4 linked regions of the Arabidopsis thaliana genome follow. The protein of the gene in region 2 binds, or shares a complex with, the protein of the main gene of each other region. Each region holds a gene or a part of one and is shown on either strand. Other genes may lie near its edges. The genes, in order: RPL24, AT1G29070, EMB3136 and RPL9.

Region 1 (4,287 bases), on a different chromosome or scaffold from region 2:
ACTCAGGACTAGACTTCTCTTGTTATAGTAGTTACTTTGGTTATTATTTCAAAGTTTGAAAGTTCATTAAAAAGGGGAATGCTGTTGTGGATATGAGAAGGTCTTGCATTCTTGGGGTTATATTCCGTTTTTGACATATGGTCTTTGGTGATTGCTTCAGGGATTTGCAGAAAGCGACGTGTAATTTCACGACTTTGATAGGCCAAGGAGCATTTGGACCTGTCTACAAAGCTCAAATGTCTACTGGTGAGATCGTGGCTGTGAAAGTTCTAGCCACTGATTCTAAACAGGGCGAAAAAGAGTTTCAGACAGAGGTAAGATATATCTATGGATTCATTTCCGAAGAACAAGTTAGTGTGTAAAACATGTAGCATTAGGCAGACTTTTAAGCATTACAATAGGCTTTCTGAAATCTCTAATACTCAATTTATTAGTTGTGTCATCTATAAGACAGGCTACATGAATGAACAATCTATATATCTTACTCTCTTAGTATCTGCTTAGTTTCTTGAAAAACTCATCCACTCGCCTTAATCTTTTCAGGTTATGTTATTGGGAAGGTTGCATCACCGTAACCTAGTGAACTTGATTGGATACTGTGCAGAGAAAGGCCAACACATGCTTATATATGTTTACATGAGTAAAGGAAGCTTAGCTTCTCATTTATACAGTAAGTAACTACCTGGTTATACATACCATATTAATCTGCTTGTCACTAAATGAACTGTTAATGCAATGTTGAGCTATTCGGTATCTTTGTAGAACATTTATTGAGTTGATGGTTTAGACTTCACTAAATGATGAGCCTTGGTAAAGATTTGAGATGCACTAAAATGGTACTTTTGATACAGGCGAAAAACATGAACCGCTGAGCTGGGATTTGAGAGTATATATTGCTTTAGACGTGGCACGTGGTCTAGAGTATCTTCATGATGGGGTAAGCTGCTTGCTAAAACCATTCACCATTTTAATGCATCTCTTAAACAACAACTTCAAAACTCATGTTCTAATCAATTGTTCCAGGCTGTTCCTCCTGTAATCCACAGAGATATCAAATCTTCCAACATCTTGCTGGATCAATCTATGAGAGCTCGGGTAAACATATCTTCTTTCTCTTTGAAATCTCAGTCTATTGAACCACCTCAAGTTTCTAATGGTGATCTTCTTTAACTTCAGGTTGCTGACTTTGGCCTCTCCAGAGAAGAAATGGTAGACAAACATGCAGCTAACATCAGAGGAACATTTGGCTACCTCGATCCCGAATACATTTCAACAAGAACATTCACCAAGAAAAGCGATGTCTATGGCTTCGGAGTTTTGCTTTTCGAGCTTATAGCAGGAAGAAATCCTCAACAAGGTCTAATGGAATTGGTTGAGCTGGTAACATAAAACTAAAAAGTCCTCGAAATCTCCAATTGTTTTGTTTGGAGAATTGCATGTAAAGACTAAACGTTTTGTTGTTGTTGATGAACAGGCGGCTATGAATGCAGAGGAAAAAGTCGGATGGGAAGAGATAGTAGATTCAAGATTAGATGGGAGATATGATTTACAAGAAGTGAATGAAGTAGCAGCTTTTGCTTACAAATGCATCTCTCGTGCACCTAGAAAACGTCCTAACATGAGGGACATTGTTCAGGTTTTGACTCGTGTTATTAAAGTGAGACATTGCAGAAAGCGGCAGAAGAATTCTCCGTCGCCGTCTCCACGGCTTCCTCCTCCTCCTCCGATAGTGGAGGAGTCAGAAGGTGAGTTAACTGCAAACGGATCATTACGATCAGAAATTCATCGGAGGGATAATTCCTTGGACAGTAGTATAGCTGAAGACGTGATTTTGTAAACAAAATGAAAAAAAAGTCTCAATTTTTTTAATTATTATTAACTTTTAAAATGTGATTTTGTTTTTCAATTCTTTTGGGTTTTTAGACGCTAGATTGTCTATATTTGTGAATGAAAATTTGTTCTTTGTTTTTTCGTGTTAAAACGAGTTCAAAACTGGAGAACCATATTATATATTTGGGCTATGAAAAGAATTGAATTCAAGGCCCAATTAAAACCTAGCCTAGCCCATTAAGGTTTAGTGATAATACAGTGTCGTTTAATCGTTTATCCAATTTTTATCGTCATCTGTGGAACGGATAGGACGAAGGAAAAAGAAGAAGAGTGAAAGTTGCAGAGCGAGAAAAAATGGCAACCATGTCTGCTCTTCAGAGCTCTTTTACTTCTCTTTCTCTATCTCCCAGCTCTTCCTTCCTCGGCCAGCGTTTAATTTCCCCGATTTCCCTCTCCGTCACTTCTCCGGTAACTTTAATTTTCGATTTCTGGTCAATTCAGGTTTTTAATCATTGTTCAAGCTTTTAGGTTATGTAGTTCACTTGTTTGCGTAATAGATTAGGTTCATGTCTTCGCTTTTCATATCCAAACCCATTTCATCAAGTAACTCTCAAATTGAATCTGTGTTGTTGCTCATTTTAAGTTTGAATTTTGCTTACTGGGATATAAAATTTTGTGCATTGTCTATGTTTAAGTGTAACTACTGAATTGAGATGAAAGTTATGAGGACTTAAAACGTCATCCTTTAGACTGATTGACTAGTTATTGGTTTGGAATCAATGGACTAGTACTTGTAAATGCTATACTTTTTAAACGAACGAAAATGTGCGTGTGATGGCTCACATTGAGTAAAGTGGCTATCTTGTTCATTTGGTTGTGATTTTTTGCATTTTCTTATGAAATGCAAAATAGCTGCAATAGGATATGGTTTCTTTGTTACTCTGCTGATTATTTTATACTCATTGCAGGTCAAGCCCGCTGAGAACCCATGTCTTGTTCTTGCAAAGGTTAGTCCACAGATCCATTACATTAACATTCTGCATTATTCGTTAATATACTAGCTTTGAAACCACAATAATTCTTTAGATTTTGTACACATCAAAAGCAAAAAGGAAAACTGTTGATAGATTCTTTTGAAACAATGAGATTGGAAGATGATTTATGTGTTTTGCGTTTTCAGCTCAAGCGTTGGGAACGAAAAGAATGCAAACCAAACAGTCTTCCGATTCTCCACAAAATGCATGTCAAGTTTGGAGATACAGTCAAAGTAATATCTGGACGCGACAAGGGTAAAATCGGAGAGGTTACTAAGATTTTCACTCACAACAGTACCATTGTGATCAAAGATGTGAACCTCAAAACAAAACACATGAAGAGCCGAGAAGAGGGAGAGCCTGGTCAAATTGTCAAGGTCAGAAATCATAGTTTTGTAGCTTTCCTTTACTTTGCAAGATTGGAGTGATGATTGAAGATTGTGCGAAATGTATTATGCTTTCCAGATAGAAGCACCTATCCACAGCTCAAATGTGATGTTGTATTCAAAAGAAAAAGACGTAGTAAGCCGGGTGGGTCACAAGGTACTTGAAGATGGACAGAAGGTAAGATATCTGATCAAAACAGGGGAACTCATCGACACCATTGAGAAGTGGAAGCTACTTAAGGAGGCTAAGGATAAGGAAACCACCCAAGTTGCAGTTACCTCCGCATCTTAGCGTCTCATTTCTTTCTTCTTCAGTGCACTTTTGATATAATAGACCTATGCATTGGATGGATGTATTGAATCCCTTTTAAGGTAAATTATAATATTTCTGCTCCCCTCATGAACACCTCTTAGCATGATTTAACATATTAATCGAACTAAAGCCGGGTACTCTTGAGTCTTGTCTATATCAATATTGATCGTTATTGACAATGTTAGACCGGCCTATCAAATAAACTGAACCAAAAACTAAACATATTAATGACTCCGCCATAACCTTAAGCACCTACAGTAATTTATTCAAAAGATACAATCTTTAAAATGAGTGCACGTTACAAAGTTAAAGCAAACAAAGTTTCGAGGGAACAAAGTGCAAACGCTTCAAAATGGTTAAACCATGTTCTTGAAGTTGTCAGAAATCAGGTCGCTTTTGGGTTTGCGTACCTTCATCTGCGTACACCGTTTCCACTTTACATATAATACCAGTAGATACACGAGGAATAAGCCCCCTTCATATATGATGAGGAAGAAGAATGAGAGACCATGCATCATGTACATCAAAAGGAAATAAGAGAAGACGAGGGGCACCGTAATAATGAAATACCACCACTCATATGCTCTGCCAACTGGTAAGAGAATAAATGAAAATAGGATAGCTATGGAAAACGCTACCGTATTGCATCCCCATAGTTGGAATTCCGAAAACCTCATACCATTCTTTTTAACTTTATCTAGTTTTTCTTTGTCTAGCAGTTGGG
Region 2 (4,043 bases):
TCCGTATAGATCTAGGTATATTTCTAATATTATCAGTTTCTCCTTTTCTGAAATCGATTCTGGATAGAGAAAACGGGTCCTAGATTTGGTGAATTCTGCGTAAAGTACAAGTATTTATCTTTGGTGTGTGATTTGTAGAGAAGGGCTAAGCACTAGAAATGCTTCAGGTTCAGAGGAAATTCAGCTGAGGATTGATCCTATGCACTCTGACCTGGATGATGAGATTCTAGGTCTCCATGGCCAAGTCAGGCAATTGAAAAATGTAAGAAACCCTCTAAATCCCATTTCGATCTTTCTACTTTTTATCTATAGTGCCATTTGTATTGTCTTCTTGTGGTTCTGAAGGATCATTGTTCTCTTTAAGCTTTAAGTTGATCATATGAATTTGGAAATTTGTCTTCTTTTCGGTTTTGACAGTGGTTAGAGCTTGGTTAATTAGTTGTGTAGGTGTTTTTTTGTTCAGGGTACTATGATAATGTTATTGTTCACAATACTTATCAGTCAGTCCACGATTAATTAGTTGAATCCACTTGTCTGATGTCTTTTGTATACATCTGTGGTTATTGTTTTATATCACCACCCTTCTTGAAGGAATCAGTCGACATTCTCTACAATTCCTTGTGTTTTACCTTGCACTTTTGCGCATTATTTATCCCTCATGATTTTTTGTTATATCGTTGATCGCTTATTTTGATGCAGATTGCTCAAGAAATTGGGTCAGAAGCAAAGTCTCAGAGGGACTTCTTAGATGAACTGGTATGTTGTTGATGTCCCTTTAGTTTTTTCTTTATCCATCATAGTAAATTGCAATGTAAGCACTTAACATCAGTAACATGCATTCATTTACTCTTCTTTACCTTTAAGATGAATCACTGATTATATATAGTATATCCGAATATCGGTTTCCTATAACTTGTTTCAGATGTCTCTGTTCATTATTAGTTGGGAAAATATAGTTTCATCCTAACATATGTTAGATAACTTTAACCGTAGCTTACAAAACCAATGAATCTTGATAAATCCAAAGTGTAGATTATGTTTACTTAGGATCTGGTCTGAACGCTGGTGGTGGGTAGGATTAGATATCTTCAATCTCACCTAGTTTGGTGAAATGCAGCAGGAAATGGTTACAGCTTATCATTGAGTTCCTGCCACTTTGTCAATGAGAATGTTGGTGTTGAATGTGTTCATTGCTTTTAGTTCGTTCTAGTTTTTTCTTTTGTTACCTAGAAGAACATCCTAGAGAAGATAATGACAAACAACTAGATTTGGTAGTGAGACTGCAGAAACAAGCATTTAGTGCTGTTATAAGCAAAATAAAATAAGTAGACGAAATGTTGTTCTTGTCTGAAACATAAAACGCTTCAATGGTATTTTGTTTTTGTTTGTGACAGCAAATGACATTGATCAGAGCGCAAGCAGGGGTGAAGAACAACATAAGGAAACTGAACCTAAGCATAATCCGTAGTGGTAACAACCACATAATGCACGTAGTTCTTTTCGCGCTCCTCCTCTTCTTTATCCTCTACATGTGGTCCAAGATGTTCAAAAGATAGATAGAGAGACTCATGGCATACTTGTGTTACCCCCCAAAAAAAAACCCTTGATGAATGTTGGATAAGTTGTAGAAAATATCCTCTAGATTACAAACATTTTGTGGTTCTTCTCGTTACCTGTTATATAGAGTGCCTGTTTTTAACAGTTTACATGAAGCAAAATTGTATCACAGAACAACAGCATGAGATATTTTAGACCAGTTCAAATCTGGCCTTAACTTGATTAATTACCCGTCCGGTCCAATTCAGTATTGGGCTTTTATAGTCTTATGGGCTGAAGTGTCGTGATACGTGTATTATTATGGTTGGTTCTTATGCGTAAGTTTATGGTGGTATCGTCCGTAGACGATAGAGGTTCCACACTATGTAAAGGAGACCGGAGAAACAAAGGAACTGGGTTTGGAGATAAGAAGTGGGAACTTGAATGGCTTCCTTATCCACTTCCGTTGTAGCTTCGGCTTCGTCGCGTTTATGGAATCCTGCTGCCTCCAACGGCAAGATTTGCGTTCCTTCTGCTTCGCTTTCTCTGCGTACGGGTTGTAGACGGAGTTCGTCCTCTCTCACTTCTTCCGCTTCTTCGCAATTGCTTCATTGCTCGTTTCTCTCGTCGCCTGTTTCCCTAGCGTCTCCATTTTCTGGTACATCTTAAATTGGTTCGAATTATTGTTTGTGTTTAGCTTCTGGTGATGTAATGTATCAAGTTCTTTTACCCAATTTTGATTTTTTTTTCTGGTTCTTTGGGTTTGGTTGATTTATCACTATTCTCGTGTGTTAGGCTCTAGCTTACTTTGCAAACACATATATTCGAAGCTTTTTTAGAAGAATTTGGGAATTGTGAAACATAGTTGTCAATGGTGAATTCGATTTGGGAGTGTGAGTGAAAGAAGCCATTTTGTTTGTTTCTGATATTTCTTGTTAAGTTTATAACAACAAGTGAAGATAACATTTTGCAACTTAAGCCTCAATTTCTGATATCTTAGCTCATGTATTTGTAGCCGCAAGTAAATGTTGTTTGATTTTTAGTACAAAAATCTTTTAGCTCATGTCGATTATTTAGGTACAATGGTTATAGATTTGCTTCAATATGTCACATGAACTTGTTCCTCCTCCTTTGATCATAATTTTCTTGTAAAGTATATTGTACGACCATTGTAGCTAGGCTAAGATTTGAGCAGTGAATTATAAGCTTTGCCAATTTAGCAACAGACGTTATGGTTATAGCTCAAGAGTTAAAAGGGTAACCTAGGAGAATGCATTAAAGTCATTTTGGATTTGTCTGGGTCTTGATTCTGAGCAGTGTGTTGAGAGTTTGGTATTGTATGGTGAGTTCTTTGGGTAATTAAAGGAAGGAGTTTACCGGTTCCAATATTATCAGCTTGATACACTATCAAACCTATAATGTCACATTGATCAAAATGGTGTTGCTGTCTTTTCAGGTTTGTCCATTGCGTTTGATCTCAGCAGTCAAACTAGTGGACTGAATGGCCAGAGACGCAGAGGCCTTGTGGTTAGAGCTGGAAAAGCTGCTCTGTGTCAAACTAAGAGAAGCAGATCAAGAAAATCTCTAGCTAGGACTCATGGTTTCCGTAGAAGGATGAGGACCACTAGCGGTAGAGCAACCATAAAGCGTCGACGTGCCAAGGGACGTTGGAACCTCTGTCCCAAGTCCAACCCTAGCAGCGGCAAACGGGCTTGAAGTTTGTTTCTCTCTTCACTCTATCTGTAATCTTGTTTCATGTGCTTTTTTTCCACCAGAAGATACAATGAGAAACATGGTTCGTTGAGCTCTTTTCTGCGTTTTAACTCTCTTGCATCCTTGATTCGTTTATAAATCAATGTTCTTGGAATTCATCACATGTACTACTATACTACTTGCTTCATTGAATTTGTTACTACTCGAAGTCTCAACTTCAAAGCCATAATTACTTAAAGATCTCTTCTGGCCACCAGGATAATTCTGGTGTGTAAGAATTGTTCAGATTCCAAGTAGTGTTAATGGTTGCTGAAAGTTGATGTATATAGTTTGGGGTTCAATCCCTGAAGGATTTTACTTTCATTTACTAGTTTTATTTCAACCTAACAATTACTTTTAAGTACTAACCCTAAATTATATTCCCCTTAAAAAGAAAACTGCACCAAAAACAAACTAGTTAAGAAAAATGAAACCAAAACTAAAAAAGAAAAGTTCCTTCTTATTGGAAATTAGGGAGGGATCAGATTGTGTAAAAAAGAGAGCGCCCAATAGTCGTAACAGGCTTTGGGCGGAACGCTCTTCTCGCAATATAAGCGAGTTTTTACCATTCATCATATCCCCTTTAACTTGCCTGAAGGATCATGCCTTTTACGTAATTAGCTCTTTCTTTTTTATAGGCATGTTACTACCATCACTATCTCTACCTAAACGATGTGGGACAAAATAAACTATTCTCTTGTTTGAAATAAGGTTTCTTATCTCAAATTCATATATCTTTGTTTTTTAAAGTGGGT
Region 3 (3,312 bases), on a different chromosome or scaffold from region 2:
CTCCTGCATCTTACTGTTGGTGCAGCTATGTGCTCATGGCAGAGCCTGATCATGTATTTGTTAATCCCCTTCCCAATTTGGCTGTTGGAGGATTCCCAGCCGCTTTTCCGTTTTTCTATATTACTCCTGAAAAGTATGAAAACATAGTCAGAAAGTATTATCCAGCGGAGATGGGGCCAGTAACAAATATCGACCCCATTGGCAACTCTCCTGTTATCATAAGCAAGGTGAGATTATCTGTGCTATACTGTTTGTATATGTGTTATTTGACTTGGGCCCCAAAGATTTTCAGAGGCGTTTAGCTAGATGTGATGTTGGTGTCCAGGAATATGTTCTGTTTGTTCTGTTCATGCATTAAAATTGATGTTGACATGCATTTACTTTCTGATGCAGGAATCACTTGAAAAGATTGCTCCTACATGGATGAATGTCTCGCTGACAATGAAAAACGATCCAGAAACTGATAAGGCATTTGGATGGGTGCTGGAAATGTTAGCACAAGAAACAAGAATCTTAAATCATGAATTGGCTCTCCACCTTTTGAATCCCATCATTGTTAACTGACTACTTTATTCTTCTCTTTTCTGTTTGATAAGGTACGGTTACGCAATTGCATCTGCTATACATGGGGTGCGTCACATACTTCGGAAGGATTTCATGCTTCAGGTAAGAATCGACCTTGTGCTGATACCTTAGTGATAACATATTCTATGTCGAAGATACTTTTGTTTTGTCAAAGTTACAAAAGTTGTTTCTCTGCTCCATATTCCTAAGTTCTCTCACAATATCTTTCAGCCTCCGTGGGATTTGTCTACCAAGGGGAAGTTTATCATTCATTACACTTATGGATGCGACTACAACATGAAGGTGATTTTCTGTTTGACACGATTGTTTAATTTTAATTTTTGGCTGATAAATTAGGAACAGATTTCACATCTTGTGGTCATTTGTTTTTACTTAAGGTCATTAGGTTCTCTTTTTAGTCACTACTAAGTTTTGCTGACTGTTAAATACAGGGGGAGCTGACATATGGCAAAATAGGAGAGTGGCGATTCGATAAGAGATCACATTTGCGGGGTCCTCCTCCAAGGAACATGTCCTTGCCGCCTCCCGGTGTTCCCGAAAGTGTGGTATGTTATATATAAACCTCTATAATCTGATCGTGCTTAAAACAAGATACTGCAGTAAGGTCCATTCATAGCTCAAAGGGGAACTTATTTGTATCATGTCCATTGGTTTAGTGGATTCCGGAGACTAAATAGCAACGTCATACACAAATGGTCGTCCATAGTTTGATGTAGTTTGTGAATTTGCAATGGTTTTACTTTCCGGGGAGATGATATGCATAAGTCTGTTAGAAGTAGTTGTAATATCTTCAGGAGTTACGGTTTTGCTTGTGGTCAATCAAGTGTGAGAGTGAGAACCGTAATATTGAATGACTGTCCTTAATAACATATTGTGTGATGGTGCAGGTGACACTTGTGAAGATGGTGAATGAAGCTACTGCGACTATCCCTAATTGGGACACTCTCTAACTCACATCCACACACAAAACACAAACCATAGGGACAAATCCATACAGCAACAATATTTTGCCTAATTTTTTTTTCCTTCTCCCTTTACTTCCCTTCTTGTCTGTTTTTTCTTGTAATGGTTAAATTATGAACTTGAGTAGTAAATTACAAAATTATTTGTTTGACACGAGACGAGACATCTTCCATAATTCCGAGAAAGAAAATAGAATTATTTTGGGTCTAGTTATTTGATTAGTTTACCAATGGATTGCGTTCAGAATTCAGAAGCAGAGACTAAAAGACACAATGCGTTAAATTAGACGGAGTTACTAATTCCGTCTATTAACCCTTTTTTTATCCATAAATTTTATTTTCCATTTAAGAAAAATAAAAAAATAAAATTGCTTAGTGGAGGATTGTGTTGTTGTTCATCTATCTTCTTCCTCCACACAGCTAGAAACAGTCTCCTCATCTTCTGAGCAAAAAAATGGAAGTGGCTCTTCTCTCCTTCTCTTCTTCCTTGTCTCCTCTCTGTCACCAGCGAATCTCAACTCTCACACCCAAAACCTCGAATTCCCCAAATTACCCTCGCCTCCCGGTCATCAGATCCGCGGTGTCTCGTAACAAGAAGGAAGAGACTGTCGAAGCCGTCAAGTCTCACTTGGAGAACTGCCATCTCCTCGCCGCCATCAACTACAAAGGCCTCACCGTCAAGCAGTTTCAAGACCTCCGGAGAACTCTCCCCGACACTACAAAGCTCATCGTCGCCAAGAACACTTTGGTCTTCAAAGCCATTGAAGGCACCAAATGGGAAGCTCTCAAGCCTTGTATGAAAGGCATGAACGCTTGGCTTTTCGTCCAGACCGATGAAATCCCTTCTGCTATCAAACCCTACCGGAGCTTCCAGAAGGAACGCAAGCTTGAAAACAATGACTTTGCCGGCGCTGTCTTCGAAGGTAAGTTCTACGCTCCTGACAATTTCAAAGTCCTCGAGACCATGCCCACTCGTGCTGAGGTCTACGCTAAGATGCTCGGTGCTCTGCAATCTCCGGCTATTAATCTCGTCACTACTTTACAAGCACCAGCAAGAGAGGTTATAATGGTGCTTATGGCTTACATTAAGAAGTTGGAAGATGAGAGTAATGCATAGTTAAGCTTGTACTAATCTTTTGGAGAATGTAATGTACGCAACAAAAGGCAATTCAATTTTTTGTTTATGACTCTCTCAAGCACCAATTGTTATTACAGTGACTGAGTTTTATTGAAATGTTGTTTTTCGGAGTGCTCTCAAGCTATCATAACGGTCTTGTTTAGATGTACTTAGAGAGGATAGATTCAACAACTCCCTGAGCTATGGGGTGATAAGTTTCTCGAGCTTCTGCAAACACCTGTTTTGCCAGCTGCTTCTCTTCTGTTCCACCAGATTGTGCAAGAGCAGTGAAGAGTGGACGCAGGTACTTCATCCTTCCTACCTCTTTTAGTGTTTTCTTCACTTCCCCATGGTACTCTCTGCACTTGGATGTGACTGCAAGTTGCAGAAACGAGACCTTCACTTCATAGTCTTTCGATTCTGCCAGTCTGTACCGCTTGTCCAAGGCCATGACCTGATTCATCAATGAGCAAAGTGGGTGTTAGCCATAGGTTTGAACCTGATCACCAATCCTTCCTTTGTTGACTAGCATTGTCATTAACAAACAAGATAAGATCCTAACTCTTGCAAAGCCAATACACTTTCCACAATCATGAACTCTCCCAAAGCCAAGAGGGTTTTTCCACAATCATTATTCACTAGCCCCAC
Region 4 (4,879 bases), on a different chromosome or scaffold from region 2:
GATTTTTAAAGTATATCAATTAGGTTAAAAGCTTCAAAGAATAAAATATTAGGGTCAGAATCAGAACAGTTTTGTGTTGTTGTTATTGTTATGACTTATGAGCAAAAAGAAGTAAACTTTGTTGTGTATGTAACCAAAGTTTTGAGCTTGACTCATTGATGTGTTTGTGTATGTGTTGATGCATTGTGGTTATGTAGGAAGGAAGGTTGGATGAGAATGGACACTTGCAATGTTCGTATCATGGATGGTCATTTGGTGGGTGTGGATCTTGCACTAGGATTCCTCAGGCTGCTACTTCAGGTCCTGAAGCTCGTGCTGTTAAATCCCCGAGAGCTTGTGCTATTAAGTTCCCGACAATGGTGTCTCAAGGTCTTCTCTTTGTGTGGCCTGATGAAAATGGTTGGGATAGAGCCAATTCAATTGAACCCCCTAGGTAACGAAAATGATTATCTTCTCAGGCTTCCATGAACATAGCATACTCGTTTTATTACTCGTTTTATTAAATGCGTTGATCTTTAACATAAAAGGTTGCCGGATGATTTCGATAAACCGGAATTTTCGACGGTGACAATTCAAAGGGATCTTTTCTATGGATATGATACTCTCATGGAAAATGTATCTGATCCTTCCCATATAGATTTTGCTCATCACAAGGTGTTGTTTTCTTTCTCAAAGCTCCCAATGTGTTTGCATTTCCACTAAGGGATATTATCCTCAGGCGATGATTACGTGTTGTAAACAGGTTACAGGAAGAAGAGACAGAGCCAAACCATTGCCGTTCAAGGTGGAGTCAAGTGGGCCTTGGGGTTTCCAAGGTGCGAATGATGACAGTCCAAGGATAACCGCAAAATTTGTTGCTCCGTGCTATTCTATGAACAAGTGAGTGTTGAGTTTGCTCACTATACATAATAAATGGTTAGCATACAGTTGCATAGAATGAAATTGTGTATCCTTGTCTACAGAATTGAGTTAGATGCGAAACTACCAATCGTCGGTAATCAAAAATGGGTCATTTGGATTTGCTCATTCAATATACCAATGGCTCCAGGAAAGACCCGTTCCATCGTTTGCAGCGCCCGTAACTTCTTTCAGTTCTCTGTACCAGGACCAGCTTGGTGGCAGGTAAAACAAACTTTGATTCCATCTCTAATCCGATTTTACTACGTAAATTCTTCTGAAGCTGTTCCTTGTTAGGTTGTACCAAGATGGTATGAACACTGGACTTCGAACTTAGTCTATGACGGAGACATGATCGTACTTCAAGGACAAGAGAAAGTATTCCTCGCTAAATCAATGGAGTCACCAGACTACGACGTGAACAAACAGTACACAAAGCTCACATTCACTCCAACCCAGGCAGACCGTTTTGTTCTAGCATTCAGAAACTGGCTCAGACGGCATGGTAAGAGTCAGCCTGAATGGTTCGGCTCCACCCCGTCTAACCAACCTCTCCCTTCCACTGTCTTAACCAAGCGTCAGGTGAGCCATCAATCATGCATCCTAACATCATTTGATTGATCTCTATATATATACAAACACATGTCTGAAAACGTGACAAATTTGAACAAACAGATGCTAGATAGATTTGATCAGCATACACAAGTATGCTCTTCCTGCAAAGGAGCTTACAACAGTTTCCAAATCCTCAAGAAGTTTCTCGTTGGCGCGACGGTTTTCTGGGCCGCCACGGCTGGTGTTCCTTCTGATGTTCAGATTCGACTGGTTCTTGCTGGTTTATCACTGATATCAGCTGCTTCTGCATATGCTTTACATGAACAAGAGAAGAACTTTGTGTTTAGAGATTATGTACATTCTGAAATCGAGTAGATTTGTTGTGTATATGTATAATCATCATACAAAGTACAAACATTGTAAATCAAAATCCAGAGGAACTTTTAGCACTATAAAACCGATTTAACCGTTAAATTTTGGGTACTCAATTGAACTTTATAAAACTTTTAAGTAAGAAAACAGAAAAGTAGAATAATTACGGGGTCAAATTCGAAACATAAGAAAAACATTCGTCACTTCACTTGAGCAAGCACACGAAAAGCCGATAAGAAGATAACAATTACTACAACTGTGCGCTCTTGTTATCTCTGCTTTGAAGTGAAATCAGCTTTGGCTATGGCTTCTTCGACAGCTTTGTCTCTCTCATGGAGCTCCTCTCCTTGTTGGTCACACAGCTTCAATGGCGGTGCAAATGAAACCCTAAAAGTATCTGAGCGAAGGTTCAATTTTGAAGTTGTTTCCCAGAAGAAAGCTAAGAAACTTCGCAAGGTAAAAGTCATTACCTTTCATGGGTTTCCTTCAAAAATTTGATTTGGCTTTTAGTTAGTTTTTGATTTGAGCTTGTGTTTCTGAAGAATTTTGGTGGAGATGAAAGTAAAAGACTTGAAGATGCTTAATTTATGGGTTTAGTGTAAAAACATCGTCTTTGTTCTTGTATCAGCGTAGTTAGGAAGAAAGATGAATCAACATTAGAAAAGTAGACGCCTTTATATTACCAGTTTAGTTTCAAGTAGTGAAGATAAATTGGTTTGAAGCTTTGTTTCTGTGTAGAGAAATGGAGTAAGTGAAACACTAATGGTAAATCTTGTTTTGTGTCTTTAAGGTAATTTTGAAAGAGGATGTGACGGATTTGGGTAAGCAAGGGCAATTACTTGATGTGAAAGCTGGATTTTTCAGAAACTTCCTCTTGCCTACTGGAAAGGCTCAGCTTATGACTCCACTTCTGCTCAAGTAATTCACCTCAACTTCGAAATTTCCGTTCGCTTTTGTATGCTCTTACTATTCGGTTCTAAGGCCTTTGTATTTCGAGGGACTTTGCTACAATGTTGTAAGATCAACAAGAAAAACATCATTTTCTTTCTTTTTGTGTGTGTGTTTTTCCCCCAGGGAATTGAAGATGGAAGACGAACGGATTGAGGCAGAGAAGCAAAGGGTAATCTGATATGAATACATTGATTGTTTTTATTTGATCATCATGTAAAGTTTTGGTGTTTGAGTGATCACCAAAAAACTCTTTGGTTATTGATTTTCATCTGTTTGTTGGTTTTTTCTTTGCGTGGAACCTTTTTTGCAGGTGAAAGAAGAGGCACAACAACTGGCGATGGTATTCCAAACCGTTGGTGCTTTCAAGGTTAAACGCAAAGGCGGTAAAGGCAAACTGATATTTGGATCGTAAGTCCTACTTAAGCAAATCTAGATTTTAACAGTCTTGAGAATAGTGTTTAGCCTGTACTTAACTTTATATTTTCCTGCAGTGTCACAGCTCAAGACCTCGTCGACATCATCAAATCACAGCTCCAAAAGTAACAACATAGAAAATTTTACATTTCCACATAAAAAGCTACAAGCTTTCTCATGTGGGCGGTTTAGTTGGATCAGTCTACATTTGGTTTTTAGTGTTGTTCGAAGAACCTAATATGGTTTTATCTGCTTCTCTGTGGCTGTGTTTTGCAGGGACATCGACAAACGCCTTGTCTCTCTCCCAGAAATCCGTGAAACCGGAGAATACATAGCCGAACTCAAGCTTCACCCCGATGTCACTGCTCGAGTTAAGATCAATGTTTTCGCTAACTAAACCTTCAACGATTCAAGACTCCTACTGCATCCCAAGGTATTTCTTGATTTTCCATGATCATGTGGCTTTTAACCATAAATGAAACTAAGTATTAGTTTTGTCTTAGTTCGTGTCTTAATTGGCATGAAATAAGTAGTTAAACCGATGTTCTGAACTCTGAACATCGGCATATAAACATTGGTCGGGAATATTGGCTGTTGAACGGAGTTTTGCGTTTTAAGGTCTAGCCGCAAACGCAGATGCTAATTGTCCATCGCACTGTGTTTGGTGTTTTGAACTTGCAGGAACGTATAGAGAGGGAAAAGAGAGTAGCCTCTTGTGGTGAGGATTGAAGGTTGTGAAGTTTTTCCTTTAGATTGTTTGATGCATTTGTATTTTTGCTATTTTTGGAATCTGGAAACGCTAAAAGTATAATATTCTCTTGCAAGTTATGATATTTACTTGAAGTTATATTGTATTCATTTGTCTGTTGAAGTGATGAGAATGCTTAAATTAACACTAACAAGCTGTTTAAAAAACTAACAAATAACCAGAAATCTGAAAAACTATGTCGCCGTCTCTTGTTCCCACAAGATTGACTATTTTTAGAGAGTTGTTGTTTAATGACAAAACCCAGATGTTTTTTTGTTTCACTGCTTCTCTTCAATTCTGTTACCAAAACCTTTTTTGTTTAAGACAGTTATAGCTCTTGATTCGGTTTTTATAATCATATGATTCTCTTGTTTCTATCATCTTTGTTCTTGTTAACAAGTTTTGTCCAATGGAGTTTAATGGTGATAGGATCCCTTACCTGAGAGATACATGGAGAGATGCAAACATGATCTGCGGTATCTTGCCTATTAACCCGAGCTCGAGCGGGCTATGGCCCTCCCCGAAGCTCCCAGATCCTCAAGCAAACATTGAGTTCTGGAATTACATGTTTCCACATGTTCAGATCATTTTCCTTATCGTCACTATTCTCTGGCAATTCTTCCATTTCTTCCTCAGACGTCTCGGCATGATTCGTTTCACCTCCCATATGCTTGTAAGAACTTTACTCAATTCTTGAATCTTCAAATCTCTCTTCCTCTTTGTTTGCATTGCTTATGTTTGATATTCTGTGTGGTTTTGCCAGACTGGGATTCTCTTGAGCAAGTCGTTTCTTAAGGAGAATACACCGGCTAGGAAATTCCTCTCGACGGAAGACTATAAAGAGACTCTGTTTGGTTTAGTGGGTGCATGTTCCTACATGATGTTTTGGTTCTTGATGGGAGTTAAAATGGACTTGAGTTTGATCCGCAGCACCGGGAGAAA

What was found.
Region 1: AT1G29070 (region 2) and RPL24 share a complex: the UniProt entries of both Arabidopsis thaliana proteins name them as parts of the 50S ribosomal subunit.
Region 3: AT1G29070 (region 2) and EMB3136 share a complex: the UniProt entries of both Arabidopsis thaliana proteins name them as parts of the 50S ribosomal subunit.
Region 4: AT1G29070 (region 2) and RPL9 share a complex: the UniProt entries of both Arabidopsis thaliana proteins name them as parts of the 50S ribosomal subunit.

The regions. Positions count from the first base shown.
Region 1 is NC_003076.8:22,180,862-22,185,148, forward strand, and holds RPL24 (Translation protein SH3-like family protein), read left to right. Parts: upstream 1-1,981; 5' UTR 1,982-2,184; coding exon 2,185-2,298; intron 2,299-2,798; coding exon 2,799-2,837; intron 2,838-3,010; coding exon 3,011-3,241; intron 3,242-3,329; coding exon 3,330-3,542; 3' UTR 3,543-3,749; downstream 3,750-4,287. Other genes in the region: CRLK1 (Protein kinase superfamily protein), read left to right, coding at 161-314, 544-670, 852-937, 1,024-1,095, 1,177-1,380, 1,475-1,837; ANK (ankyrin), read right to left, coding at 3,920-4,287. UniProt on the Arabidopsis thaliana protein: One of two assembly initiator proteins, it binds directly to the 5'-end of the 23S rRNA, where it nucleates assembly of the 50S subunit. Required for optimal plastid performance in terms of photosynthesis and growth.
Region 2 is NC_003070.9:10,147,904-10,151,946, forward strand, and holds AT1G29070 (Ribosomal protein L34), read left to right. Parts: upstream 1-1,887; 5' UTR 1,888-1,980; coding exon 1,981-2,194; intron 2,195-2,992; coding exon 2,993-3,252; 3' UTR 3,253-3,504; downstream 3,505-4,043. Other genes in the region: AT1G29060 (Target SNARE coiled-coil domain protein), read left to right, coding at 1-15, 139-262, 700-756, 1,395-1,556. UniProt on the Arabidopsis thaliana protein: This protein binds directly to 23S ribosomal RNA.
Region 3 is NC_003076.8:4,339,293-4,342,604, forward strand, and holds EMB3136 (Ribosomal protein L10 family protein), read left to right. Parts: upstream 1-1,969; 5' UTR 1,970-2,001; coding exon 2,002-2,664; 3' UTR 2,665-2,803; downstream 2,804-3,312. Other genes in the region: AT5G13500 (Hyp O-arabinosyltransferase-like protein), read left to right, coding at 26-227, 394-491, 597-666, 796-867, 1,017-1,130, 1,473-1,535; AT5G13520 (peptidase M1 family protein), read right to left, coding at 2,825-3,118. UniProt on the Arabidopsis thaliana protein: This protein binds directly to 23S ribosomal RNA.
Region 4 is NC_003074.8:16,384,378-16,389,256, forward strand, and holds RPL9 (ribosomal protein L9), read left to right. Parts: upstream 1-2,017; 5' UTR 2,018-2,127; coding exon 2,128-2,280; intron 2,281-2,614; coding exon 2,615-2,742; intron 2,743-2,898; coding exon 2,899-2,944; intron 2,945-3,085; coding exon 3,086-3,183; intron 3,184-3,266; coding exon 3,267-3,314; intron 3,315-3,465; coding exon 3,466-3,586; 3' UTR 3,587-3,622; intron 3,623-3,870; 3' UTR 3,871-4,346; downstream 4,347-4,879. Other genes in the region: ACD1 (Pheophorbide a oxygenase family protein with Rieske 2Fe-2S domain-containing protein), read left to right, coding at 198-433, 528-654, 743-879, 963-1,122, 1,195-1,479, 1,573-1,827; CHX4 (cation/H+ exchanger 4), read left to right, coding at 4,347-4,610, 4,701-4,879. UniProt on the Arabidopsis thaliana protein: Binds to the 23S rRNA.